Macaca fascicularis: one gene and its partners. The protein of the gene in region 1 binds, or shares a complex with, the protein of each later gene. Links are inferred from orthologs where the notes say so. Each region holds a gene or a part of one and is shown in the gene's direction. Other genes may lie near its edges. The genes, in order: SMARCA5, MYBBP1A, RSF1, DEK and SF3B1.

What was found.
Region 2: SMARCA5 (region 1) and MYBBP1A share a complex: the UniProt entries of both Homo sapiens proteins name them as parts of the B-WICH complex. The link is inferred for Macaca fascicularis from reciprocal best matches to the Homo sapiens genes SMARCA5 and MYBBP1A.
Region 3: SMARCA5 (region 1) and RSF1 share a complex: the UniProt entries of both Homo sapiens proteins name them as parts of the RSF-5 ISWI chromatin-remodeling complex. The link is inferred for Macaca fascicularis from reciprocal best matches to the Homo sapiens genes SMARCA5 and RSF1.
Region 4: SMARCA5 (region 1) and DEK share a complex: the UniProt entries of both Homo sapiens proteins name them as parts of the B-WICH complex. The link is inferred for Macaca fascicularis from reciprocal best matches to the Homo sapiens genes SMARCA5 and DEK.
Region 5: SMARCA5 (region 1) and SF3B1 share a complex: the UniProt entries of both Homo sapiens proteins name them as parts of the B-WICH complex. The link is inferred for Macaca fascicularis from reciprocal best matches to the Homo sapiens genes SMARCA5 and SF3B1.

What each region holds. Positions count from the first base shown.
Region 1 is NC_088379.1:148,650,866-148,656,592, forward strand, and holds part of SMARCA5 (SWI/SNF-related matrix-associated actin-dependent regulator of chromatin subfamily A member 5), read left to right. Parts: intron 1-380; coding exon 381-513; intron 514-3,472; coding exon 3,473-3,621; intron 3,622-3,814; coding exon 3,815-3,934; intron 3,935-4,693; coding exon 4,694-4,804; intron 4,805-5,420; coding exon 5,421-5,534; intron 5,535-5,727. UniProt on the Homo sapiens protein: ATPase that possesses intrinsic ATP-dependent nucleosome-remodeling activity.
Region 2 is NC_088390.1:4,637,913-4,643,639, reverse strand, and holds part of MYBBP1A (myb-binding protein 1A), read left to right. Parts: coding exon 1-26; intron 27-125; coding exon 126-200; intron 201-301; coding exon 302-409; intron 410-1,889; coding exon 1,890-2,065; exon of another isoform or gene 2,066-2,076; intron 2,077-2,223; coding exon 2,224-2,391; intron 2,392-2,518; coding exon 2,519-2,636; intron 2,637-4,062; coding exon 4,063-4,358; intron 4,359-4,946; coding exon 4,947-5,057; intron 5,058-5,727. UniProt on the Homo sapiens protein: May activate or repress transcription via interactions with sequence specific DNA-binding proteins. Repression may be mediated at least in part by histone deacetylase activity (HDAC activity).
Region 3 is NC_088388.1:76,562,938-76,568,664, reverse strand, and holds part of RSF1 (remodeling and spacing factor 1), read left to right. Parts: intron 1-2,287; coding exon 2,288-2,862; 3' UTR 2,863-5,727. UniProt on the Homo sapiens protein: Regulatory subunit of the ATP-dependent RSF-1 and RSF-5 ISWI chromatin-remodeling complexes, which form ordered nucleosome arrays on chromatin and facilitate access to DNA during DNA-templated processes such as DNA replication, transcription, and repair.
Region 4 is NC_088378.1:154,655,209-154,660,935, forward strand, and holds part of DEK (protein DEK), read left to right. Parts: intron 1-511; coding exon 512-613; intron 614-859; coding exon 860-969; intron 970-2,289; coding exon 2,290-2,384; intron 2,385-2,892; coding exon 2,893-3,013; intron 3,014-5,727. UniProt on the Homo sapiens protein: Involved in chromatin organization.
Region 5 is NC_088386.1:93,009,756-93,015,482, reverse strand, and holds part of SF3B1 (splicing factor 3B subunit 1), read left to right. Parts: intron 1-410; coding exon 411-497; intron 498-623; coding exon 624-894; intron 895-1,311; coding exon 1,312-1,457; intron 1,458-1,552; coding exon 1,553-1,699; intron 1,700-2,247; coding exon 2,248-2,373; intron 2,374-2,886; coding exon 2,887-3,108; intron 3,109-3,389; coding exon 3,390-3,572; intron 3,573-3,657; coding exon 3,658-3,769; intron 3,770-4,788; exon of another isoform or gene 4,789-4,858; intron 4,859-5,245; coding exon 5,246-5,366; intron 5,367-5,709; coding exon 5,710-5,727. UniProt on the Homo sapiens protein: Component of the 17S U2 SnRNP complex of the spliceosome, a large ribonucleoprotein complex that removes introns from transcribed pre-mRNAs.

The sequences.
Region 1 (5,727 bases):
TAATTGGGTAATATTTAAAGATTAGAATTTTTATGTTTGATAAGTTCATTGTTTCATGTCACTTTTTTGCCTGATACAGTAACAATTTGGGTTTGATATAGATAGAAAAACATTTTGAATTTAAACCTAGGGAAAAAGACTTAAAATCTTTTCTCATCAGACTTAAAAATTATAATTTTGTATATTGTTTGGAGACATTGTGTGTGTTTTATCTCTGTAACCTAGCAGAATTCATCTGATTCTTACAGATTCATTGTTACTACAAATTTTTAAAAGTTTTATACTTCAGAATATTTTAATTTTGTTTCTCAATGTACCCATTTCAGTGTTATTTATGTGACTTTTAAACTCAATTCAAAATAACATGGTAATTTATTTAGGACCGAGCACATAGAATTGGACAGACCAAGACAGTCAGGGTGTTCCGCTTTATAACTGATAACACTGTAGAAGAAAGAATAGTAGAACGTGCTGAGATGAAACTCAGACTGGATTCAATAGTCATTCAACAAGGTAAGCCATGGAACTTTAAAACTTTACCAAGCTGGATTGACACAACCTGTTTTTGTTTGAACATCGTCTTAGAAGATTCTTGTTACTAAGCATCCATTGAGTCAAGCTTGCAGCCAGTAGAGATTACTTGTATTGCAAATACAGTAAACTTTAGTTTTGTCCTTAAGATTTATTTGGGCTCAGGACAATTGAGTTTTGAATAATGACTCTGCCAGTTAGCAGTTCTCTCTCGTTACATGAACCCATTTCCTCATCTGTTAAGTGGGGATAAAAATACACTTAAGGATTTTAAAGGATTAAAGGGGATAATGTATATAAGATATCTGATATTCAGTGTGGTGGTTAATGATTTATATGTACTAATTACTCTTGATTACTGTGGGGAATACTGAAGAAATAAAAATCAAAGAGCCTGATTTTATTCTTTTTTCTTGTCTGCAACTTATTGAGTACCCACCAGATGCTAGGCACTGTTCTTGGTGTTGAGAATTCAGTGGTAAATGGAACATTCAAGTATTCTTACTTTAAAAGAGTTTACAATTTAGTTGGGAGGGCAGATGAAGTAAACAAGGTATAAGTAGGAGTAGGGGGTGAGAGTGGGATTTTATTTTGAATCGATTGAAGGAAACTTAAGTTCTCATTCCAGATCAACTTTTAAGGATGACATAGTTTATGTTTTCATGAAACTTACTGTAAAGTTGATGATGGGAAATATAAAATTCAAGAAAAGGGGTGGGAAACTTAATAACTTCAAATGTTCATTAGTTTCCTTTGTAACTGCATTGTGAGCATATATTTACTATCTGTCTAAAAAGCTGAAAGGCATATTGTTACATTGTTTACTGATTATGTAGGTGTCTTGATTTTGTCAGTCTCTTATTTCCATGTAAGAGAGTATTTTTCATGTCTTTGGTATCCCTAATGCTATTGCATACCTAAAGACAATAAATTATTGCTTATTTTTACAAATTGTTTCCGTTAATAAAGTGTTTACTTTGTGCCAGGCAGTGTGAACATTTCATTTTCTCCTTTAGTCTTCATGCCAACTTGAGATGTTAGCATCAGAGGTAAAGGCTTTTGAGAGGTTAAATTACTTGTTCATTGTACATACAGCTGGGAAGTGACTCAAGGGGACCAAGAACTTTGTTAACTATTAAGTATTTAATTAGGAAGGCCTTTGGGGGCTTCTCGAGGCTACCAACCCATGAGGTTATCTCATGGGTGATAAAATGGCTAATGTTTTATTTTTCTTCACACATCTGTGTGTTTTGAAAAACACCTGCCATGTGCTTCTTGTTCTCAGTTATTTTCATCCATTAAACACTTTTTTTTGAGGTGGAGTTTTGCTCTTGTTACTCAGGCTGGAGTGCAATGGCACGATCTTGGCTCACTGCAACCTCCACTTCCTGGGTTCAAGCAATTCTCCTGCCTCAGCCTCCTGAGTAGCTGGGTTTACAGATGCCCACCACCAGTGGTGCTTGGCTAATTTTTTTGTATTTTTAGTAGAGACAGGGTTTCACTTTGTTGGCCAGGCTGGTCTCAAACTCCTGACCTCAGGTGATCCACCTCAGCCTCCCAAAGTGCTGGATTACAGGTGTGAGCCACCACGCCTGTCTGAAACACTTTTTTTTTAAAGATTAAAAAACCTTAATTGATTCATAAATTTAGAAATCTTGAGGTTTTTTACTTCATATTTACTGTGGCAATTTTTGGAGCAAACCTTCAGGCTAATAGCTTTCTTGTGCCATTTGTAGACATGTTAGTCAAACAGCAAGCCTTAAGTACATACCTCTGTGTTACTGTTTTTTATTTGAGGAACATAATTGAAAATGAGAGTACACAAGCACTTTACATCTGAAGGTTCCCTCTCTGCCCAACTTGGAAGTAGCTTGTATAAGCATGAGACCATTTTGGTAGCAATGGCAGCATCCAATCCAAAGAAACGTACTTTCTGGATATTGCCTCACTTTCAAAGTCACAGATGTTTGGTTGTATATTCTGTTATGGGCCCCAAACCATGATACAAGTATTTAAAGAAGTTGTTGAAAACTTGGATCTTTTTCCACTTAATTACAAGTTGGTTGGCGTATAAAAATCAAAGCTTTGTTTAGATGTATGTGAGTGACCCTTGAGGTGGGTGAAAACAAGTCTTTCTGGGTTTTTGTTTTTGTTTTTATGTCTGTATTTTTGAAAACACAAATTACAAGGTTGTCCAAATTCCTGCCAACTGAAAATCTTTAGTAATTTATTAATGATGAGTTTCTTTGATGATCCAGATACATTTTCTCACCAGGTGTGGTAGTGCATGCCTTTAGTCCTAGCTACTTGGGAAGCTGAGATAGGAGGATGGCTTGAGCAGGGAGTTGAAGGCTGCAGTGACTATGGTCCTGTCATTGCACTCCAGCCTAAGCAACAGAGCAAGACTGCATCTCAAAGAAATAAACAAATAAAATAAGTTTTTAGGAGTTCCAGTTCTTCTGGAAGTTTTCTTTAAAAAGAAACTGATGTTACATATTTCAGTTCTGTGTAAAGTTTGGCCTGTGGGAAGGATTTTTCACTTTTCTAAGGAGAAAAAGCTGATTTGAGGAGTATTAGTAATAACACCTTTCTGCTCATCAGAAACTTGTGTAATACATAATGCTTCCATCTGTTGAAACTTGTAGGTTTTTGAAAACTTCATCATATGCAGCTTTCACAAAAGATATTTCATTGACACAGTATACAGTAGGGTTCATTATATAATATATCAGCTTTAGGAATGTTTTGTAGCTTACCAACTGAAAATTTGGCATTAAATTTAGTGCAAAAATGAAAATTATCAGATGTGAATAAACAGTAAACAGAAATGATTGACATTTGAGACAGAATTATAAGGCATTAAACCTTACATTTAGAATTTCAAGTTTCCAGTAAAATAAAGTCTGTTCAGTTAACATTATACAACACAATCTTTTTTCAGGGAGGCTTGTGGATCAGAATCTGAACAAAATTGGGAAAGATGAAATGCTTCAAATGATTAGACATGGGGCAACACATGTGTTTGCTTCAAAGGAAAGTGAGATCACTGATGAAGATATTGATGGTATTTTGGAAAGAGGTGCAAAGAAGGTGAGATGTAGATTAAATAATGCTTTTAATATAGAATGTTTTAGACCAGAAACAGGAAATATTTGTTACATTGATAAATAATTTTATTTCCCTAACAAAAAAGCTTTTGTGTACCTGAAGTTAATTTATTTTGACTGCAGGTTTCATGCTTTCTTTGTTGTGAATCTAAGAAGTTGATTGTTTTGTTCTCTAGACTGCAGAGATGAATGAAAAGCTCTCCAAGATGGGCGAAAGCTCACTTAGAAACTTTACAATGGATACAGAGTCGAGTGTTTATAACTTCGAAGGAGAAGACTATAGGGAAAAACAAAAGGTAATTTAGAAATAGGTTTGGGTTACATGAAAGCTTTATTTTACTGGAAACCTGGAATTTTAAGTGTTACTGTAATGTCTTGTAATTTTGCTTAAAACAGCAGTCATTTTTGCTTATTCACATCTGAATATTTTCATCATTATGTAAAATTTAATGCCAGTTTTTCAGTTGGGAAGCTCTGAAATATTTTTAAAGTTTTTGTAATGAAGTTTGTGGTGTATGTTTACAGTGAAATATATTCTTGTATGAGATGAATAGTAATGTGGGATGGCAACCTGATTCATTTTATTTTAAACAGCAGAAGTGGCTGGTAATAAACGGAAAATTTTCCTAACTTCGTAAGTAATACTTGGTAATATAGAGATAAATTGAAAAATACCGATAGAGTATAAGAAAAAAATAATTCTACCCAATGTTTTTCGTGTTAACATTTAGGTCTATATCTTCAGAATTTTTTCTAGGCTAATTTGTGTCTACACTTTTCTCCTAGTTTAGATTTATACGAAACAGTCAGTAGCGTTTCTCCCTCATTTAACAGTTGTTCCTTTAAGCAAGAAATACTGAATGCTTACACTGTTGACTGGACACTGTCTCATGTGTTAATTATATACATAATATTGAGCAAAGTATCATATTCCCCACCCTCATAGCTTATAGCCTAGGATTTTGTGAATATCTTTCCATTTACAAACATCCTTCTTGATGATGATTTGTTACTGTGGAATAAGTCGGTGATCTGAGTTGTTTCCCATGTTCTAGATTGCATTCACAGAATGGATTGAACCACCTAAACGAGAAAGAAAAGCCAACTATGCTGTTGATGCATATTTCAGGGAAGCTCTTCGTGTTAGTGAACCTAAAGCACCCAAGGTGAGTTGACTGACACAGCATAAAAATATCTAAAAGTTTTGAAAATGTAATTTTTTTCTTATATTCTTTGGAAAAGATTGATAATTACATTTTGTGTTTCTTTTTTTTTTTGAGACAGAGTCTTGCTCTGTTACCAGGAGTGCAGTGGCGCAATCTCAACTCACTGCAACCCTCCACCTCCCGGGTTCAAGCAATTCTCCTTCCTCAGCCTCTTGAGTAGCTGGGACTACAGGCGCCCACCACCACCCCTGGCTAATTTTTGTAATTTTAGTAGCTATGGGGTTTTACCATGTTGGCCAGGATGGTCTTGATCTTTTGACCTCGTGATCTGCCTGCCTTGGCCTCCCAAAGTGTTGGGATTACAGGCGTGAGCCACCGCCTCTGGCCTACATTCTGTATTTCTTTGGAGTGTACTCCCTTCTGTTTTTAGTTATCATTTTTAAAAAATTAATTTTGAATCTGTGCATTTAAAATTAAGATATCAATTCAGTTTTATTGAAAGATGCATTCAGTTACTTGCAGAATTGGCTCTCATGGTTTCTGAAGTGAGGACTAAGAATACATTTAAAACAAAATTTCTTTTTTATGGATAACACTTATTTTTATTTTTCTTTAGGCTCCTCGACCTCCAAAACAACCCAACGTTCAGGATTTCCAGTTTTTTCCTCCACGTTTATTTGAGTTACTGGAAAAAGAAATTCTGTTTTACAGAAAAACTATTGGGTACAAGGTAATTGAAATTATCCACCTTTCTGTTCATTCCTATCCAGAAATTACGGAAAGTATAAACATTAGTTATAAATATTTAATTTGGACCTAGTGGGAAAAATAATTGCTTTAGCCTAACCTAGTTGTATATGTGAAATATGTAAACTTGGGTCTGTTATTCTTTAAAAAGAAAAAATAAGACTTCATGACTAATC
Region 2 (5,727 bases), on another chromosome or scaffold:
AATATGACCTGTGTGAGGTGAAGAAGGTAAGTGGATCCAGGGACGTCAGCAGCCCCAGGGGTGGGAGGCTTGGGGAACGGGGAGTCCCAGGGCCCCTCATGCCTGTGCCTGGAATCCTTTTCTAGACAATGCTGAGACCTGCTCTCTTTGCAAACCTGTTCGGAGTACTCGCCCTCTTTCAGTCAGGCCGGCTGGTGAAGGTAAGAGCTTTGGAGGGGCTGGGGGAATGTAGGCTGACTTGGAATGGGTAGGGGACAGTAGTGTGCCCTGTTCATACCCTCTGTCGTTCCGTGGGGACCAGGACCAGGAGGCCCTGATGAAGTCCGTGAAGCTGCTGCAGGCCCTGGCCCAGTACCAGAACCACTTGCAGGAGCAGCCCGGGAAGGCCCTGCTGGACGTCCTCTCCGAGGTACGAGCTCACCCGCTGTGCGGGCTCGGCCAGCGCTTCCCGTTACAGAGACATCATCGGGGCTTGGATGAGAGTCTGGAACAGCATTGTTCCATAGAAATACAGAGATGTATAATTTGAAGTGTTTCAGTGACTTAGTCGAAAAGGTAAAAAGAAACAGGTGTCATTTAGTAACATTTTACTTCGTCTGGTATATCTAAAATATTACTGCAGTATGCATTGGTATAAAAAACCGTTGAGGTATCTTACATGCTTTTTTTTTTTTTTTTTTTTGAGACGGAGTCTCGCTCTGTCACCCAGGCTGGAGTGCAGTGGCACGATCTCAGCTCACTGCAAGCTCCGCCTCCCGGGTTCACACCATTCTCCTGCCTCAGCCTCCCGAGTAGCTGGGACTACAGGCGCCTGCCACCTCACCCAGCTAATTTTTTTTGTTTTTTAGTAGAGATGGGGTTTCACCGTGTTAGCCAGGATGGTCTCGATCTCCTGACCTTGTGATCCGCCCATCTCGGCCTCCCAAAGTACTGGCATTACAGGCGTGAGCCACCGGTCCCAGCCTCTTACACACTTTTTGTCAGGTAGTCTCCAGAATCCAGTGTGTATTTTACACTTAGGCACATCCCTGTTCAGATTGGCCACCTTTGAAGCGCTCAGCAGCCCCGTGTGGCTGTGACTACTGTATTGGGCAGTGCAACTCCAGAACTGTGCCTGGCGCGTCACAAATATATAAAACGTTTGCCTTGTTATCCTAGTCAAGGCTGGCCCCTCGTGGGCCTCCACTGCCCGACTTGGGAAGGTAGCACCTAGGCCCTTTTGCCACTGAAGAGAAAGGCAGGGGCTGGCAGGTCCCAGGCCGGGGCTTACTGTGCAGTCTTGACCTCAGAGCCGGAAGGACCTGAATTTGAATCCCAGCTCTCCACCCAGGGCTCCTTGTGTGTGAAATGAGCTAGTCCTCTGAAATACTAAAAAAAAAAAAAAAGGAATAATTAAAAGGGTAGCTCTGACTGGGCACAGTGGCCCACGCCTATAATCCCAGAACTTTGGGAGGCCAAGGTGGGTGGATCACTTGAGGTCAGGAGTTCGAGACCAGCCTGGCCAACATGGTGAAACCCTGTTTCTACTAAAAGTACAAAAATTAGCTCAGTGTGATGGTGCACACCTTTAATCCCAGCTGAAGCAAGAGAATTGCTTGAACCTGGGAGGCAGAGGTTGCAGTAAGCCAAGATCACACCACTGCACTCAACCTGGGCAGCAAAGCGAGACTCTGTCTCAAAAAAAGCAGCTACCTCTGGGCCAGTTAGCATCAGTGGGATGCTTGTCAAAAACCCAGCTGCCTGGGAATTTGAGTTTTGTTAGCAAATACCCTCTGATGACTCTGGTGCCTCACCAGGTGGCCCTGTGTCAGGAGCCTGGCAGGTAGAGCAGGATCCACCGGGCTCATCCCGCAGAGGAAGCCACCATCTCTTTATCTCTCCATCCTTAGGTCTCAGTGGCTACATTGCAGGAGATCCTGCCAGAGGTCCTTAAAGCCGACTTGAATGCAATACTCAGCTCCCCCGAACAGCTGGAGCTCTTCCTCCTGGCCCAGCAGAAGGTGCCCTCCAAGCTCAAGAAGCTGGTGGGATCCGTGAACCTATTCTCGGATGAGAATGTTCCCAGGTGTGACGGAGGTGGGCGGATTTGCCCTCCCTGGGGCTGTGGGACTGCATCTGGCCAGGCCCAGGTTTGCCATGTGGCCTGGGGGTGTCCCGGCTGCTCTTGGCACCCTGGCCCTTGCCCGTGAGGCGAGTGTTCCCTCAGTCCCTTGCTCTCCGCAGGCTGGTGAACGTGCTGAAGATGGCCGCCGCCTCCGTGAAGAAGGACCGCAAGCTGCCCGCCATTGCTCTGGACCTGCTCCGCCTAGCGCTCAAGGAAGACAAGTTCCCACGGTTCTGGAAGGAGGTGGTGGAACAAGGGTTGCTGAAGATGCAGTTCTGGCCAGCCAGGTGCTCGCGGGGCGTGTCCTCTCTCGGCCCCCTTCCCTGTCTGTGAAGTGGGGCTGGGCCACCAGTCCTGAGGTCCCCGCCAGGGGTCCCAAGGGCTCTGATCAGGCTCTGTCCCGCACCCCCTTAGCTACCTGTGTTTCCGCCTGCTGGGCGCAGCCCTGCCCCTGCTGACCAAGGAGCAGCTGCAGCTGGTGTTGCGGGGAGACGTGATCCGCCATTATGGGGAGCACGTGTGCACTGCGAAGGTGGGTAACGCCCGTGCAGCTCGACACTGCCAGAAAGGCTAGACAGGGAGCTCTCCCTGCCAAGAAGGGGAGCAGGGCACCTCGGGGGCTTGGCCACGGGTGTCCCCTCTGTCTGGGTAGTGAGCTGCCTGAACCCCTTCCCCTCGGACAGATTTGATTTTTTGAGTTGGAGTTTCGCTCTTGTTGGCCAGGCTGGAGTACAGTGGTGTGATCTGGGCTCACTGCAACCTCCACCCCCCAGGTTCAAGCGATTCTCCTGACTCAGCCTCCTGAGTAGCTGGAATTACAGGTGCCCACTACCACGCCCAGCTAATATTTGTATTTGCAGTAGAGACGGGGTTTTGCCATGTTGGCCAGGCTGGTCTTGAACTCCTGACCTTAGGTGATCCACCCGCCTTGGCCTCCCAAAGTGCTGGGATTACAGACGTGAGCCACTGCGCTCGGCTTCCCTCTGACGGTTTTGTAAGGTCAGGCCCTTCTGCCAGCAGGCCCCTCATGGGCGTGGATAGCCAGTGGGCTGTTCAGACCTCCACCGCTCCAACCCATGCTGCAGTGATGAGAACAGTCGTCATGACCGTGTTTGGGCACCAGTGAGCCTGATGCCCAGTAAGTGCTGCTGGGTTTACTGTTCTCACCAGCTCATTTTATCTTTGCAACGAGTTTCAGAGAGCTGTCATTCTGGGTGAGGGGGCAGACTTGAAGTATCAGGCAGTGGTTAAGAGTTTGGGTTGGACGGTGGTGCACACCTGGAGTCCCAGTTACTCAGGAGGCTGAGGTGGGAGGATCAGTGAGCCATGATCGTGGCACCACACTCTGGGGACATAATTCTAAAAAATCTAAAAGGAAAACAGCTTGGGCCGTGAAGCCAGACATTACCCACTGGGAGCCTCTGACCCTGAGACGTTCTTTCTAGGTGTTTTTGTGTCTCCCTTTATTCACCTACACAATGATAATATTGGCTGACTGCAAAGGGTTGCTAAAATGCTAAGCTGCCACACAAAAACGTGGGGTGTGGGTCCTGGCGCTGAGGAAGTGCATGGGAGGTGGTGGTTTTTGGTCCTGAAGATGACACAGCTAGGAATTAGCAGCATGGGCTTTGAACCCAGGTCAGTCTCGCCTCAACTACCACCCTGCCCTGCATGGAGCCAGAAAACAGACCATCCCCATCCAGCAAGGCAGAAAGAGGGGCCTTCTGGGGCCGGAGGTGGTGAAGCTGGGGCAGTCAGACCCAGAGAGGCCTTGATGCCAGACAAAAGCACTGGGGTGACGGAACTGTTGCAAGTTCAGGCTCAGCCTAGCTGTGTACGACGCGAGGTTTCCGGGCCTTGGTTTAACCCGTAGCGGGTGCAAGCCTGGTGGATTGTTGGGTTATTGACCGCCTGCCCCCTGGGCTGGTGGGCTCAGCTCCATGCCTAACTTCTTGCAGCTCCCAAAGCAGTTCAAGTTTGCCCCAGAGATGGAGGATTATGTGGGCACCTTCCTAGAGGGGTGCCAGGATGACCCTGAGCGGCAGCTGGCCGTGCTAGTGGCCTTCTCATCCGTCACCAACCAAGGCCTCCCTGTTGCGCCTACTTTCTGGCGGGTCGTGCGGTTCCTGAGCCCTCCGGCCCTGCGGGGCTATGTGGCCTGGCTGCAGGACATGTTTCTCCAGCCAGACCTGGACTCCTTGGTTGACTTCAGCACCAACAACCAGAAGAAAGCCCAGGACGCGTCGCTCCACGTGTGAGTGGACCTTGGGGAAGGACCCCTAACTTAGGAGTTAGCTTCCTAGGCCTGCAGAGCCCAGCAACCCGAGCCCTCCCTCCACAGTGTCCTGGCTCTAAACCGTGAGAGGAGAGAAGGGAAGAGCCTGAGCTCTCATGTGAGGCTTCCGTGTGCTTGTGTGGTCGCACACTGGTGATTGGGATGGGGAGATCTTGGCTTCCTGAGATCAGGCAAAGGAATGTCCTGTTTTTGCCAGTTCTTCTGAGACAGAGTCTCACTGTGTGGCCCAAGCTGGTATGCAGTGGCAGGTGATCTCAGCTCACTGCAATTTCTGCCTCCCAGGTTCAAGTGATCAAGCGATTCTCTGCCACAGCCTCTCCGGTAGCTGGGACTACAGGCACCCGCCACCACACCCAGCTAATTTTTCTATTTTTAGTGGAGGTGAGGTTTCACCATATTGGCCAGGCTGGTCTCGAACTCCTGACCTCAAGTGATCCACCTGCCTTGGTCTCCCAAAGTACTGGGATTGCAGGTGTGAGCCACTGGGCCCAGCCTGTTTTTGCCAGTTCTAAGTGGCTCACATGACCTCACCTCCTGCCCTGCTAGGCCTGAGCGAGCTGTGTTCCGGCTGAGGAAATGGATCATCTTTCGATTGGTGAGCATTGTGGACAGCCTGCACCTGGAGATGGAGGAGGCCTTGACTGCACAGGTGGCCAGGTACGTACGAGATGTGCTGGAGCCCCAGCTTCCCATGGGCGTGTGGCCAAGGAATGGGGCCCCTTAACTCATCCTAGTTTGCATCCCCTGGAGCCAGAAGCCTTTGGGTTGAGTCATCAGTGGGGAACAGGCGCAAGGGGACTTGGGAATTCCTTAGGAACCCGTGAAGGGAAGGGGCCCAGGAGGCATCCCAGCTGCAGGGGCCTAAAAGGTTCAGGTGTGCTCTGCGCGCCCTGCAGGCAGCTTTTGCACGTGGGAGCTGTGAGGGAAGCCTCTGCCCACACCTGCCTCGGCTGTGCCTGTGCAGAGCCGGGTGCTCGAATCACCCTCAACATTCACGGTTGCAAGAGGGGGCTGCACTGGCCCCATGTCTGCCGGAGCAGTGACGTGACTTGGCCATGACCACACAGCCTCCCATCTCTTGGTTTCTTGGGAGGGGCACTGATTCTCTCTCTCCAGCTCGGGTTAAGCCGCGTTCAGCTGGGGATCCAGACCAGAGAAACGGCCCCTTCCCATCCTAGCCCAGCCCAGCCCAGCCACCTCCAGCCTTGCCCGTCAGACCCCTGAGGACTGTGCCCAGAGCAGAAGGGCTCCCCCTCGTCCTCCTGGCCTCGTACGCTCGGTGGTGCCATCCAAGGAGGGGAGCCTGTAAAACCAATGGCAGTGAATG
Region 3 (5,727 bases), on another chromosome or scaffold:
TCAAAAAGCTGAGTTGTTGTGACTGAGAGTATAGGGCCTGCCTCTTATATAAAAGATGTGCTAATCTCTGATGATAAATAGTGCCATGCAGTTTAACTTTCTGCAGTGATTATATATGTGCTGATGGTTACAATAGCCACTAGCCTTCATATGGCTTGAGCACTTGAAATGCGGCTGGAGTGACCATGGAACTGAATTTTAATTTTTATTTAATTTTAACTAATTTAAATTTAAAATAACCACATGTGACTAGTGTTTACCATATTAGGTAACACAGAGTAGGGTATTGTATGGACTTTGGATTTTTATTTCGTGTGAGGTGAGAAACATTTGGGCCAAAGCACAGATGAGTATTGAGAAGCAGATGAGGAGGAAGAGGAAGAGGAAAGCAAACCATCCCACATTTTGAGCAAAGGAGTGATGTGATCTGACTTAGGTTTTAATTTGCTGTGGTAGCTGTGTTATGAATAGATTGAAGGGGGCCAGGGCAGAAGCTAGAAGACCCATTGGGAAGTTATTGTAATAGTCCAGGTGAGAGATGATGGAGGGTAGAACTGGGTCAGTAGCAGTAAAGAGGCAAAAGCAGTCACATTAGGGGTATGTTTTAAAGTGAGACCGAAAGGATTTACTGTTGGGTTGGGTGAGAGAAAGAAAATAATCAAGGATGACTGAGAAATTGGAGGAGCAATTGTGAAAAACTAAGATGGTAGAGACCACAGTGCTGCAGGATTAAGGAGAAAATTTAGGAGCCCAGTTTGAGACACGTCATTTGAAATGCCTGCTTAGAGATACCCAAGCCTAGATGTCAAGTAGGCAGTTTGATACACTAGGCTGGAATTCAGTGGTTGCCTAAAATAAATATGAAAGCCGTTAGCATATAGATGGCATGCCAAGTTGTGAGACTAGGTGAGCTCTTCTAAAATGGAAGTAGAGTCATCTTCAGTATCCATTGGGGATTGGTTTCAGGATCCCCGCAGATACCAAAATCCTTGGATTTATAAGTCCCTCATATAAAATGGTGTCATATTTGCATATAACCTACCCATATCCTCCATATACTTTAATCTCTAGAATATTTAAAATACCTGATACAATGTAAATGCTATATAATTGTTATACTGTATTGTTTAGTGAATGACAAGAAAAAAGTCTATGTATGTTCAGTTCAGACACTACCATCTATTTTTTTCCTGAATATTTTCCATCTGCAGTTGGTTAAATTCATGGATAGGGAGGCCCAACTGTATAGACAAAGAAGAGAAGACAATTAAGACTACCAAGGGTGTCTGATAACTAAGATGAGAATTGGCACAGTGTTTAAGAGGTACAGAGTTGGGTGTCCAGTTTAAATCTTTCCTTATCAGCATGTTGACATGATAACCTAATTTGTGTACTAGTGGGAAGGAGTTTCTTAGTTTGTAACTAACCTATCTTCATTTAATTCAAGCATTATCAGACATCTTCCCCAAGAAATTTGCTGTTGGCCAGGCACAGTGGCTCACACCTGTAATCCCAGCACTTTGGGAGGCCAAGGTGGGCAGATCACTTGAGGCCAGGAGTTCGAGACCAGTCTGGCCAACATGGTGAAACCCCGTCTCTACTAAAAATGTAAAGAAATTAGCTGGGTGTGGCAGCACATACGCCTGTAATCACAGCTCCTCGGGAGGCTGAGGCAGGAGAATTGCTGGAACCTGGGAGGCAGAGGTTGCAGTCAGCCGAGTTTGCGCCACTATGCTCCAGCCTGGGAGACAGAGTGAGACTCCGTCTCAAAAAATAAAGTAGACCAGGTGCGGTGGCTCACGCCTGTAATCCCAGTACTTTGGGAAGCCAAGGCAGATGGATCACAAAGTCAGGAGTTCGAGACCAGCCTGGCTAACATAGTGAAACCCCGTCTCTACTAAAAATACAAAAAGTTAGCCTGGTGTGGTGGCAGGCACCTGTAATCCCAGCTACTCGGGAGGCTGAGGCAGGAGAATGGCTTGAACCCGGGAGGTGGAGGTTGCAGTGAGCCAAGATCACACCATTGTACTCTAGCCTGGGTGACAGTGTGAGACTTGGTCTCAAAAAAAAAAAGAAAATATTCTCTAAAATCATAAATAAAGTATACCATGAATCATATTGGGCACTGTTATGGGGCTGAGGAGAGAAATCAGGCCAATTATTGAAAGGACATTTTTATGTACAAGCAATTCTGAAAGCAGGACGTGGTGAATATGGGGAGGAAAAGAAGAATTAAATTCGTTTATGGTTACCCATGCCAATGGCTTAAATGTGCTGTTTATTCTAGAGAGCTATTTGTCCAAGAACTCTGAAGATGACGAGCTAGCTAAAGAATCAAAGCGGTCAGTTCGAAAGCGGGGCCGAAGCACAGATGAGTATTCAGAAGCAGATGAGGAGGAGGAGGAAGAGGAAGGCAAACCATCCCGCAAACGGCTACACCGGATTGAGACGGATGAGGAGGAGAGTTGTGACAATGCTCATGGAGATGCAAATCAGCCTGCCCATGACAGCCAGCCTAGGGTCCTGCCCTCAGAACAAGAGAGCACCAAGAAGCCCTACCGGATAGAAAGTGATGAGGAAGAGGACTTTGAAAATGTAGGCAAAGTGGGGAGCCCATTGGACTATAGCTTAGTGGACTTACCTTCAACCAATGGACAGAGTCCTGGCAAAGCCATTGAGAACTTGATTGGCAAGCCTACTGAGAAGTCTCAGACCCCCAAGGACAACAGCACAGCCAGTGCAAGCCTCGCCTCCAATGGGACAAGTGGTGGGCAGGAGGCAGGAGCACCAGAAGAGGAGGAAGATGAGCTTTTGAGAGTGACTGACCTTGTTGATTACGTCTGTAACAGTGAACAGTTATAAGACTTTTTTTCCATTTTTGTGCTAATTTATTCCACGGTAGCTCTCACACCAGCGGGCCAGTTATTAAAAGCTGTTTAATTTTTCCTAGAAAACTCCACTACAGAATGACTTTTTAGAAGAAAAATTTCAACAAATCCTGAAGTCTTTCTGTGAAGTGACCAGTTTTGAACTTTGAAGACAAATAATTGCTGTAAATTCCTTTTGATTTTCTTTTTCCAGGTTCATGGTCCTTGGTAATTTCATTCATGGAAAAAAATCTTATTATAATAACAACAAAGATTTGTATATTTTTGACTTTATATTTCCTGAGCTCTCCTGACTTTGTGAAAAAGGGTGGATGAGAATGCATTCCGAATCTGTGAGGGCCCAAAACAGAATTTAGGGGTGGGAGAAAGCACTTGTGCTTTAGCTTTTTCATATTAAATATATATTATATTTAAACATTCATGGCATAGATGATGATTTACAGACAATTTAAAAGTTCAAGTCTGTACTGTTACAGTTTGAGAATTGTAGATAACATCATACATAAGTCATTTAGTAACAGCCTTTGTGAAATCAACTTGTTTACTATTGGAGATAACCACACTTAATAAAGAAGAGACAGTGAAAGTACCATCATAATTAACCTAAATTTCTGTTATAGCAGAGTTTCTTGTTTTAAAAAAATAAAATCATCTGAAAAGCATTTGTACAGTAAAATGTATAATGAAGCTTTGCCAACCAGACTGTGCTAGCAACACATTTTTTTAAATAGCTTTATGCAGTGGTAATAAGGTGGCCTCAAATATATTATGTCTGATGGAGGGTTATTAGCGAAATGGATGTGGTCTTTGTTAAGGCCTGGGTGGATCGTAAACTTTGCCAATAGTATAACTCTTGTCTTCTGGCCACTTGATGTTTAAATATCTGAAATATCATTTTGAAAAAAATACATCTATATATAACATACATGAAGAGATGCTAAGCTGACAGTGATATTTTAGCACATTTGAAGACTGGGAAGAGATTTTCAGGTGAATTTTAACTGGTCTATTCTTGCCCTTAGTATCTACTTCAAATTGAAGTCTACAAACAAAGCAGTTCCTTTGGGAGGTTTTTAGTTTGAGTTTTAGCATGTGTGCGTATGTGTGTGTGTGCGTGTGCGTATGTGTGTGTGTTGGAATTTCCTATCTGCCTGGATATATTAGCAGAGTTTGAATGTAGTTTTGGCCTTTGGCCGTTAGACTTCTATTAAAATTCATTAATAGTCATACAACCAACATAGAGTTGAATGAGAACTGCCGATGTAATTAATAGGCATGACATCCATTTCAAACATCTCAACACTTTAAAGAAAAGCCCTTTATTTAAAAAAAGAAAGGGTTTTTAACTAACTAAATACCTAACATGTAATTGACACTAAAATATGAACTTTGTCTTATTTAGTTTCTGTTATAGCTGTAAAACTTCAGGCAGAGCCATAACATTGTACAGAGTGTAGCACTTGTGATTAAACCTAGCCTGTTAAATCCTGAAACCTTCAACCATTACTTCTGTGAATACTTTTGCCCTGGGATTTGGGTTTTTCTGTTCCAGTGTTGTGTCTGTTGCCGGCAATGGACACACCATATCTGCTGCTGGCCCAAGGAACGTCATTAATTTTTCTTTCCAAATTAAATATTATGTGCTAGTCAGTATATAGTAAAGCACTTCTCTTTTTTATTACTAAAAAGCTGGCATTAGATTTGCATTATAAATACCTCTCTAGGAACTTTATACTCCTTTTCCTTCTTCAACAGGTATTGCCCTTAAATCTTATCTTTTGGCCTTGAAAGTTTATAGCTGTTGTTTTTCAGTTGTTTGTTGTTTTGTTTTGTTTCACTTTAGTTCTGTAGTACCTGCCCATTAATATTTTTGCTTTGATTCTAGCAATGTGTATGTATCTGTAAAAAAATAAAATAATGAAAGCAGCCTAAAAATAGGATGCACCAATAGCGTGTGGTTCCAAGTAAGTTGTGATTTTTATTTTGAGACAGTGTTCCACTGGAAGGGAAGGAAGGGCTTACATTCACAGACGGTAAAGCAGGACTGTGGAAGGAGCTGCATTCACTTACAGTCTCCTTTCCAGCTAGGTTTGTTTTATTTATTTGCAAGTCAGCTAAGAATTAACCTTTTAAACTATCTAAAACAGGCCAGCAATATAAAGATTTCTACCAGTGCAAGGTAAGTGGTTTGAATGTACAGGTGCCCTTTCCTGCCACCCAGTCTTACCCCACCATTTTAGTCCTGCAACTGGGTAAAGCCACTATTGTGTGGAAACTCTCCCATGTGCCCTGTCTCTACCTCTGGACACACCAGCTCCTCCTTCCACCTATTAGTTCTATTCCTCAGTTAAGCCAGTGATCAGAAGTAGTATTAAATGGGTAGATAATTTTAACAGGATGCCTAATGTGAAATAAGGAGTTATTTTTACTCTTCTTCTATAGAAAGCCTAAGGTAATTTTTACCATCGCAAAGGCTGAGTATTCCATTTAGCAAATGTCCCACTGACATGGGTTTGGAGACCACTTGTGCTGCCTGATGTTTACCAAACTTGAGTAAATGTTTGTCAACTTGATAGTGAATGTACCCCTTCTCACCTTATATTTTGATTAAATCAATTAACTATAGGTCATCTACCAAGAATGTAATCCAAACAGTTGATAAAACATTATTATGCAGATTGATTATTGATTATTAAATTTTGAGCAGTGCAAAAACAGTTCTGCTGCTTGGAGTTCAAATTCAGTCCCTCAAAGAGTTTATGATCACTGAAGTACACTCTGAAGGTATCCTGAAGAAGTTAAAAAAAAAATTTAGAAAACGAAATGTTCTGTATACAAA
Region 4 (5,727 bases), on another chromosome or scaffold:
ACTTCAGGCTGTTCTGCCTGGAGGTCTTTATTTGTGTCTCTTTTGTCAGTTGACTAAATTATTAGTATTCTCTGTATGTCTTTTGAAGTTCATAATCTCTCAGTTCTAAATTTGATTATTTCTGAAGTACAGCAAACTGAATCACAGTTATTAAATAGAATTATGTCCAAAGATTAAACAGAGCTAGATTTATTTCACAAACGAAGTGACTGGACTGTAATGGCAATAATTTTAGTTGGATAAAAATTAGTTTGCTTTCTAATTTTTTTTTTTTTTTAACTGAGTCCCTGTGAGTTTGCCAGGTGAGTAAAATGTTAGTCTGAAAAAATTTTCGTGGTGCTCTATTAACTAATCAAGTGTTGTCATCTTTTATGTTATTTGCTTTCCAAAACCATGCCCAGAGGAAGAATAAAGTGTTAGGTTTTGGGACTTTGTTCTACATGTTTATCTAATAAAGTTAATACAATGTTTAAGCTTTTTGTTAATTAAGAAATACTAAATTAATTTCCAGAAAAGAGTCTCATCGTGGAAGGCAAGAGGGAAAAGAAGAAAGTAGAGAGGCTGACAATGCAAGTCTCTTCCTTACAGAGAGAGCCATTTACAATTGCACAAGGTGAGTTTCTTCTAGCTTTCTTTGATTTTGTGGTGAAAGTGTCTAAATTTGTGAAAATGATGGTTTGTAGCTTAGTATCAGCAGAGTAGTGTTTTATACTTTAGTTATAATTTTATTTAATTTGCTTTGTAAGAGCAAAGTTACATGTAAATTATGCTGTGAAAATAATTCCTATTAAATTAACTTTGTAAAATGTATTAGTAAGCCATGGGTATTTAATTGTGATTTTTTTTTTTTTTTTTCTAGGAAAGGGGCAGAAACTTTGTGAAATTGAGAGGATACATTTTTTTCTAAGTAAGAAGAAAACCGATGAACTTAGAAATCTACACAAACTGCTTTACAACAGGCCAGGCACTGTAAGACTTTTTTACACTTTAAACCTACTTGTATATTACTTCACAATGGAATCAGTTTCTGTAAATGTTAGTGATCCACTAGTTCAATTTCCACACTTTATGACTGAGCAGACTGAGATATATATTTATTAAATGATTTATCACAGGAAATATAGCTGAATATTAGCAGTTGGATTATAATATCCAGGGCTCTCTCCCTTTTTTTTCTTTTTTTTTTTAAGACATGGTCTCACTCTGTCACCCAGGCTGGAGTGCAGTGTGCAATACATGACTCGCTGCAGCCTCAACCTCCTGGGCTCAAGTGTTCCTCTCACTTAAGCCTCCCAAGTAGCTGGGACCACAGGTGTATGCCACCATATCATGTCTGGCTAATTTTACTTTTTGTAGAGGTGGGGTTTTGCCATGTTGCCCAGGCTGGTCTTGAACTCTGGAGCTCAAGCAGTCCTCCCACCTTGGCCTCCCAAAGTGTTGGGATTACAGGTGTGAGCCAGTATGCCCAGCTCTAGGGCTCTTTCTCCTGTAGTAGTATTTATTCCAAACTGAAATTTCAAATTATGAAATCCAAATTATGATGGTTTTAGTGACCTTTAAATGTATTGAAAGAAATTCATGTTTTTGGATTTTCTGGTCATTCAGAATAAGTGATTTGGTATAATTGTATCACATTTTTAGCAAATACCTGATAAATTGGATGATAGTTTTTTGCTAAAGGATTATTATACTGTACATAAAACTTAGTATTTTATATAATTGAGGAAACTGCTTTAGGTTGTACATGGGCAAAGTAAAGTTGGGTGTTAGAATGCCTGAAGTAGAATAGAATGTCTGATGCATGACATAATTTATTTTCACGTCTGTTAATCTCATTTAATCCTTAAACCAATCTAATTTACATAAGTCCCATAACTAGTAAACAGTATTAACTATAAAGTCCTTGATTTGGAAAAGAAGAATTACTAGTAACTTTATTACTTATGAAAAGGATATCTTTTTAAGTAGTAATTTTCCACATCCTCTGGTACTGTCAGATAACTTTTGATTGTGGTAAAAATTCCCCAGTGAAAATTTGTTCAAATCGTTATTTTCAGAGACTTAAGTTTGTAGGATTTTTATAATGTTATTATGTTAGTAACATATTTTTCAGTTTTGAACAAGAAATGTTGAATGTTGAACCCGTATTGAATTGGTTGACTGTTGAGCCAGTATTGTAAGTTACAGATAGATATGAAAATAAAGATGTTGGCTTTGAATTCTCTTTGAATTTATTCTTGTGTATATTACTGGGTAGTAAATAGCGTTAATAATAAGGAACATTTTCAGGTGTCCTCATTAAAGAAGAATGTGGGTCAGTTCAGTGGCTTTCCGTTTGAAAAAGGAAGTGTCCAGTATAAAAAGAAGGAAGAAATGTTGAAAAAGTGAGTTATTTTTATAAATACTATATTTTAATCAATATGCTTTAAGTTTATTTTTTAATGTTAAAAAAATCACATTTGGGCCAGGCACAGTGGCACACACCTGTAATCCCAGCACTTTGGGAGGCTGAGGCGGGTGTATCACCTGAGGTCGGGAGTTGGCGACCAGCCTGACCAACATGGAGAAACCCTGTCTCTACTAAAAACACAAAATTAGCTGGCCGTGGTGGCACATGCCTGGAATCCCAGCTACTTGGGAGGCTGAGGCAGGAGAATCGCTTGAACCTGGGAGGCAGAGGCTGCGGTGAGCCGAGATTGGGCCATTGCACTCCAGCCTGGGCAACAAGAGCGAAACTCTGTCTCCAAAAGAAAGAAAGATTCAGAGAAGCATTGGCCACTTTTTAAAATGTATGTAAGTCAGCTAATTTGGTTGGCTTTCCCTTTATATTGTGGAGAACATTTGTAAGCTTTCCTATATTAACACCTTGGTTTCTTCCATTTTCTGTTTCAGATTTAGAAATGCCATGTTAAAGAGCATCTGTGAGGTTCTTGATTTGGAGAGATCAGGTGTAAATAGTGAACTAGTGAAGAGGATCTTGAATTTCTTAATGCATCCAAAGCCCTCTGGCAAAGTGAGGATCAATTTTTACTTTTTTCATAAGAAATCAGTTATTCATAGCCTCTTTTTTATACGAAACAAAAATTGATTAATAACAGCATTGCTGTCAGTATTTATTAATATCTACATTCAAAGAATATAACTTCTGTTGTTGTATCTGCAATAATTTCCTGATAGAAATAATACAGATGCCATAGGGATGTGTTGCTTCAGAAAATCAGATACAAGGGAATAAGGTTAAGAATAGTGAATTAATGTCAGAAGGGACAGAAAGTACTAGTAGTCAGGGTTAGGTATCTAGAAGATACTGGAAGAATGAATAGAGGTTGGGCTGAGGATGAGGTGCAAGGCTGGAGGGAAGGGGTGCAATCTATAATCAAGTGAAGACAAAATGGGGAGTATATTAGAACTGGATGTTTTCCTGGATCCTGGAATGAATTATTTAAAAGTGACATTTAAAAGCTCTTACAAGTTTCCTGTATTGGGTTTCCAGAATCCGCAGCAGAGCCCAGGAGCCGGAGAGGGAAGTAAAATGGCCTTATAGTTTTCTCACTCTTCCTAAAAGCTAGTCGATTTGCCCTAATTATTTAATGGTAACAAACAACATAGGTGACTTAAAATGTCTGTTGAAGTGTTATATGACCTTGTATTTTTAGTGTGATTTAGGTCTGTCAGCAAATGTTTTTCTATTCTTCCCGATCTTGACAGGAAAGGAGGTGTGAAGAGAGCGAGCAGGTCTAGGAGTTCAGGGGAATGCCATCTCGGATGGGAGAGGGCATTAAAGAATCAAAACCAGAAAATAGCTCTGGGACTTTGTTTTGGTCTGCCCTTGGTCCTTATTACCATTAGCTGCACGAGGACAGATAGAGAGCACTTAAGGTGTTAACTTTGGTTATACAACTACAAACACAAGGTGTATGATGATTTTTGGTGTTTTAAATTGGCTTATTGAAAGACGACAAAATACTTTTTTTTCCCTAACTTTTACTGTAGCTATACTTGTACTTTTTAAGGATTTAGTGTGAGGCAAGGTGATCACTATTTCCTCAGAAGCAGTTACTAAGTTGTTATGATGGATATTTTTATATTTATCTTTTTCTCAGTGGTTTTCCAATTTATTGGTTTCAGAATACTATTACTCTCTTAAAAAATTAGTGAGGACCCCAAGAGCTTTTTTTAAAATATGGGTTATTTTGATCTTCACTGTATTTGACATTAGAACTGAAAATTTTTATTTTAAAATGTTAAAAATAGTATTTTTTATGAAAAATAACTTTTCAAAAGAATTAAAGAGTGGCATTATTTTATGTTTTTGTACATCCGTTTAATATCTGGCTTAAGAGAAAACAGCTTAATTACCATTTGCTTCTGTATTCAGTCTTTTTTTATTGTTGTTTTGAGACAGATTCTCACTCTGTTGCCCAGGCTAGAGTACAGTGGCACAATCTCTGCTCACTGCAACCTCTGTCTCCCAGGTTCAAGCAGTTCTTCTGCCTCAGTCTCTACAGTAGCTGGGATTATAGGCATGTGCCACCATACCTGGCTAATTTTTGTATTTTTAATAGAGATAGAGTTTTGCCATGTTGGCCAGGCTGGTCAGGCTGAACTCCTGACCTCAGGTGATCCGCCCACCTCGGCCTCCCAAAGTGCTGGGATTAGAGGCATGAGCTCCCGCGCCTAGCCACATTCAGTCTTTTGCAGTATATTGTTTTGCTTAAAATTTATGAAGGGCCTGATGGAGTAGCTTATGCCTGTAATCCCTGCCCTTTGGGAGGCCGAGGCAGGTGGATCACTTGAGCTCAGGAGTTCAAGACCAGCCTGGGTGACAGAGTGAGACTGTCTCACGAAGAAATTAGCCAGGCACTGAGGCACACTCCTGTAGTCCCAGCCACTTGGGAGGCTGAGGTGGAAGCCCGAACTCAGGAGGTCAGTGCTGCAGTGAGCTATATTCATGCCACTGCATTGCATCCTAGGTGACAGGACGAAATCCTGTCTCAAAATATAATAAGTGTATGAAGAAAACCGAGCCTCACATAAAAAGAATATTTTTAAAGTCCTTTTAGATAATTGTGTGTATTCTCTTTTTGATACCACACAATACGAAAACTACGTAAGTTGTAGTTTCCTAAAGGTTAGTTGTAATGTTTAATGTAGGTCTGAAACCATGTTAATTAACTTGGGTCTTATATATATAGTTTTGTAACATGCATTTACCATTTGTAAATATTGGTTCCCTGAATCATATCTTCCAAATGTTGGCATGTTTTATTGAACACTGTCATTAAATCATGCTCATTAATATAAACACCATCTCATCAGAAACGTTACTTAGGCCTTGGAAAACTATTAAGTTCGCAGTAGTAGATGTGAATTTTCCAGAATTCTAAATTTCCACTTGAAATCGTAACATTTATCATTGGTGATAAATGCTGTCAGTTTTCCTTGAAGTGACAAGCTCACCTTGTTCATTTTTGAGGATCTTTATCAAGTACCTAAGTCTGAGTTAGCCATATTTGTTCTTTTAAAAAGTGGTGTTCTCTGGGAGGTGGAACTTGCAGTGAGCCGAGATCATGCCACTGTACTCCAGCCTGGGCGACAGAGCGAGACTGTCTCAAAAAAAAAATATATATATATATATATGGTGTTCTATGAAAAAGGAGCTTGGAGCGTGTTTAGCTCACAACTCAGATACACAAATGCTTTTCCTTCAGAAAACCATTGAACTTC
Region 5 (5,727 bases), on another chromosome or scaffold:
GATATTAGTTTTTATCATCTTTGCCATAAGACATTCATATTATTTAATATTTTCATTTGCTTTTATTGAGATTAGATTAGGAGGAGAACATATGTGATTCTGTACTGTGCCAGTTAGTATTAAGAACCAGTTTTTTCACCGATGTTAATTATGGTGCAGTATGTTCATGGGGCATATAAGTTATTTCTTTAAAAAATATTGAATATTAGTGTGTCACTAATAGCTCTCTTAAATTTTCATCTCTATCTGGAGTTTGAACTTGTGTAATTAAAATTCTTAAACAATTTGTCCCTTGATTAACGAAAATCCTGATAAATCTAAATTTCTTGTATATGTTTAATTCTGTACATGAGTATTTCATCAGTAATTGATGTGAAAGTGTAGCTGCTTCTCTTTTTTCTCTTTTTCAGATCCTTGTGGTCATTGAACCACTATTGATTGATGAAGATTACTATGCTAGAGTGGAAGGCCGAGAGATCATTTCTAATTTGGCAAAGGTATTTACATTTAATTTCTAGAGAAGACAATTTATTTCTGTTTATGGAATTATTTGATTATGGAAGGAAATGGTTGAAGATTAATATTACCAACTCATGACTGTCCTTTCTTTGTTTACTTTTTAGGCTGCTGGTCTGGCTACTATGATCTCTACCATGAGACCTGATATAGATAACATGGATGAGTATGTCCGTAACACAACAGCTAGAGCTTTTGCTGTTGTAGCCTCTGCCCTGGGCATTCCTTCTTTATTGCCTTTCTTAAAAGCTGTGTGCAAAAGCAAGAAGTCCTGGCAAGCGAGACACACTGGTATTAAGATTGTACAACAGATAGCTATTCTTATGGGCTGTGCCATCTTGCCACATCTTAGAAGTTTAGTTGAAATCATTGAACATGGTAAGTTGTAATGTAACTTTTTTTTTTTTTTCTCTTTAAGAGACAGGGTCTTACTATGTTGCCCAGACTGGACTCAAACTTTTGGGCTCAAGTGATCCTCCTGCTCAGCCTTCTGAGTAGTTGGGACTAGAAGTACACACACAGCCTGTCTACTTTTAATAGACAGCTGTCCTAAAATTTGGGCTACTGATTTGGGGAGATAAATGGAAAGGCATAACTGTACAAACTATAGATTTTATGATGGGTTTGTAATATTATCTGCTAACAGGCTATGGTTCATATTTTGCTTTTACCTAATTTTAATGTGAACGTATTCTGTAGTTTGGCTAAATAGTTGATATATTGTGAGAATCTGGATGACATTGTGTGACTTAGGTAATGTTGGGGCATAGTTAAAACCTGTGTTTGGTTTTGTAGGTCTTGTGGATGAGCAGCAGAAAGTTCGGACCATCAGTGCTTTGGCCATTGCTGCCTTGGCTGAAGCAGCAACTCCTTATGGTATCGAATCTTTTGATTCTGTGTTAAAGCCTTTATGGAAGGGTATCCGCCAACACAGAGGAAAGGTAAATCCACCAATTACCTTTTGATTTATCTTCATTAAAGTTAAGGTGACATAAATCTAAATTACTAAAGTACATATATTTTTATTTAAAAATAGGGTTTGGCTGCTTTCTTGAAGGCTATTGGGTATCTTATTCCTCTTATGGATGCAGAATATGCCAACTACTATACTAGAGAAGTGATGTTAATCCTTATTCGAGAATTCCAATCTCCTGATGAGGAAATGAAGAAGATTGTGCTGAAGGTAATTATTCCAGATTTGTTAATGTAAACTGGATTTGTTTCATGGTTCTAAGATAATTTTTTTTTGTTTTTTTTTTTTTTGTTTTTTTTTTGAGACGGAGTCTCGCTCTGTCGCCCAGACTGGAGTGCAGTGGCGCGATCTCGGCTCACTGCAAGCTCCGCCTCCCGGGTTCACGCCATTCTCCTGCCTCAGCCTCCGGAGTAGCTGGGACTACAGGCGCCCGCCACCACGCCCGGCTAATTTCTTTTTGTATTTTTAGTAGAGACCGGGGTTTCACCATGTTAGCCAGGATGGTCTCGATCTCCTGACCTCGTGATCCACCCGCCTCGGCCTCCCAAAGTGCTGGGATTACAGGCTTGAGCCACCGCGCCCGGCCGGTTCTAAGATAATTTTAAAGTGTTTTTTAAAAACAACAAAAAAACTGTATGTTACACCAGTACTGTTTCATTTGTTTTTAAATTTTATTTTTTAAAATTACGTAATCAGCAATGAGTAGTCTGTTCATTTCAAGTCAGTTGATTTATTATTACTATTTTTTAACCTTTTAGGTGGTAAAACAGTGTTGTGGGACAGATGGTGTAGAAGCAAACTACATTAAAACAGAGATTCTTCCTCCCTTTTTTAAACACTTCTGGCAGCACAGGATGGCTTTGGATAGAAGAAATTACCGACAGGTAAGCTTTTATTTTAAAAGAATATTCTCAAAAATCCTTTTGACTTATTCTTTAGTCGACTTGAATGCATATTATTTTTTACCTTAATTATCTCACAGTTTATATGTGCTTGATTATGAAAGGAGATGGATTTTAGTCAGCTAACTTCCATTTTGATTTTGGATTCAAGGATTAATACTCAACTGTGAGGAGATGGATTTTAGTCAGCCAGTTAACTTCCATTTTGATTTTGGATTCAAGGATTAATACTCAACTGTGAATTGATGTTTTTGTGTGGTGAATTCAGTGCTTTATCTGGCTAGATGAAACATGGACACAGTTTTACCTTGAATCATGTTAACTTACACTCATTTTTCTATGTTTGGTCACTTTTCTCTTCAACTTTAATAAATAGCAGTGAATCATTCTTATCATGTTCATTAGCTAAATAGTGTATTTAGAGTATTTGGTTTTCATGATATTTTATGTCCTTGGAAAAGCAGTCTAAAACGTTTTTTTTTCTGTTCTTTTTAGTTAGTTGATACTACTGTGGAGTTGGCAAACAAAGTAGGTGCAGCAGAAATTATATCCAGGATTGTGGATGATCTGAAAGATGAAGCTGAACAGTACAGAAAAATGGTGATGGAGACAATTGAGAAAATTATGGGCAATTTGGGAGCAGCAGATATTGATCATAAACTTGAAGAACAACTGATTGATGGTATTCTTTATGCTTTCCAAGAACAGACTACAGAGGTAATGATAACTAATTATGGCACATTGCTACTGACTTTAATATTTGTAGAAAAACGTATTAGTTGTCAAGCAAATTTTTCTAGAATGCAATTGAATTTGAAGTAATTTTTAATATGCTCACTCGGTTACCAAAAAATGTTATTCTACCTCAAGTTTTAAGATTTGATGTAAAAAAACAACCACAGATGTTTGGGTGGTTAGAAAAGGTTGACTATTAGTATATTTCAACTGTGCAGTCATAAACCAAATGAATGTGTCTTTTTTTAAAATTTATTTTTTAGGACTCAGTAATGTTGAACGGCTTTGGCACAGTGGTTAATGCTCTTGGCAAACGAGTCAAACCATACTTGCCTCAGATCTGTGGTACTGTTTTGTGGCGTTTAAATAACAAATCTGCAAAAGTTAGGCAGCAGGCAGCTGACTTGATTTCTCGAACTGCTGTTGTCATGAAGACTTGTCAAGAGGTAAACTTCTTTTTCAAATTATTATTTCTTCACCAAATAGTTTAATGTAAATAGTAACATTTTAACATTCTTTGTTTTATTATAGGAAAAATTGATGGGACACTTGGGTGTTGTGTTGTATGAGTATTTGGGTGAAGAGTACCCTGAAGTATTGGGCAGCATTCTCGGAGCACTGAAGGCCATTGTAAATGTCATAGGTATGAAATCTGCTGGTTACATAAGACTTTTTCTTGTTTTAATTTTCTTTCCTTTTTTTTTTTTTTTTTTTGTAAGTAAAGTCTTATTTAGGATTTGGGAGGTTTTTGTTACTTTTTTAAAAGCACTTCAATATTGTAGTTAAGTCGGGGGATGTCACAAAAGTTTTGTTTCCCAAAACCCATTTATATTTTACTTTAAAGAGAAAAAAAGGGCAAGTTTAGGACCTACAGGAGAGGTGGGAGTAGTCACAGCTCAAAAAGCTTTGAAGTCTTGGAATACAGGACCCTAGTAGAAATAGTGTTTCAGGTGAAATATATTCTGCCATGTTCTGCTGCGAGGGGGAAAAGGCAAACCTAAAGTTTTAATTCAGTTTTAGAACTATATGTGTATATTTAAACCTTGAATTAGTGATTATGACAGGTTTTTTACTTGCCATCAGTTTCAAGGAATATAATCAGAAAAGTGAACTGATCAAATTATTGTCTTTATTTACATACTCAAGTTTTCAATACTGTCCATTCAGTTTTCTAACCCAAAACACAGCTATATTACAAATGGTCTTGGATATGGAGAGCAAAGTTTTTATTCTGTTAGGGCAGTATGACAAAGAAAACAAATGGTTTCTTGTATTTAATCTTTTTTTTAAATTGATTATAACTGTTGCCAAATGTAACTCCTGCAGAGTTTAGAGGCTCTGATAACCTAGCAGAAGTCAAAATGGCTGACTGTGAGAGAGCCACTGTTTTTTCTTATTTTGTAAGAGGTATTTATGCAATATACATTTTTAAACTATTGTATTTGCATATAATCTCCAATGCAGCCCAGTGCTCTACTTGAAGATAGCCACTTGCCAAAAATCATTTACATGGGCACTTGTAGGTCTCTGGTTTGCAGGGAGTTTTAAACCATATTGTTTGTCAGAGAGGCATGGGAAGAGCAATGGAGAGAGAATCAGAGCAAGTGATTCTAGTTAGAGCAAGAGCCCCTGCCAGCTGCCTCCTTTTTTCTCTCTTCATAGGTGTAAATACCATCCAAGTATGCCCTGCATTGCAGGGAGACTGGAGATCTGTTTGTTTTGCAGTTAAAGGGTAAGGGGGCCCTTTCTGGAAATTTTTGCTTTATTTACTTGTTTACCTCTGGCTTATATTGTTGTGTACGGCCGGAACATAAGCTGTCCCCATATTTAAATGTCAGTGCACAAATACATTTCAGAACCAAACAAAACTTTTTTGTTATTGAGTATCCATCATTCTTTAAATCACTTCACTGATTTCTTTCATTTCTATACATAATCAAAAATTGTTAATAAAAGTTAAAAACGATTCTGAGTCTGGTCAGAATCCGCGGCTTTCTCTTTCCATAGGCAGCTGTAAGTTTATATTTATGCATAGTCATATATAACGTTGCTAAGTAAAAGGAAAGTGAACAAAAGTTGCAATTCAGATGTTGATAGTTTATTGACTTCTATTAAATAGGTATGCATAAGATGACTCCACCAATTAAAGATCTGCTGCCTAGACTCACCCCCATCTTAAAGAACAGACATGAAAAAGTACAAGAGAATTGTATTGATCTTGTTGGGCGTATTGCTGACAGGTAAGCAGATTACCCACACATTTTTATAAGCAGTATCAATTTTCAAATTTGGCCACTTTGTATTCAATTAGCAAAATTTTCTTAATGTCACTAATATAAGTGTATATGATTAGGCTGTCTAGTATTAATATTTTCAGTCAAATTTCAATTTGGATGGTAATGGGGAGGCCATGTAATTTTAGGACTAAACCTGTAAGACTAACTCTTCAGCCTTTCTGAAGAGGAATAACTCTTATTTAATGCTTAAAATGAGTTAACAATCATGTTTTTAGAACTGAATTTGCAAATTTATCCTTAAAACTTTTCCTAATGTCACAAATAATATGTGTATTTTTTAAATTAGGGGAGCTGAATATGTGTC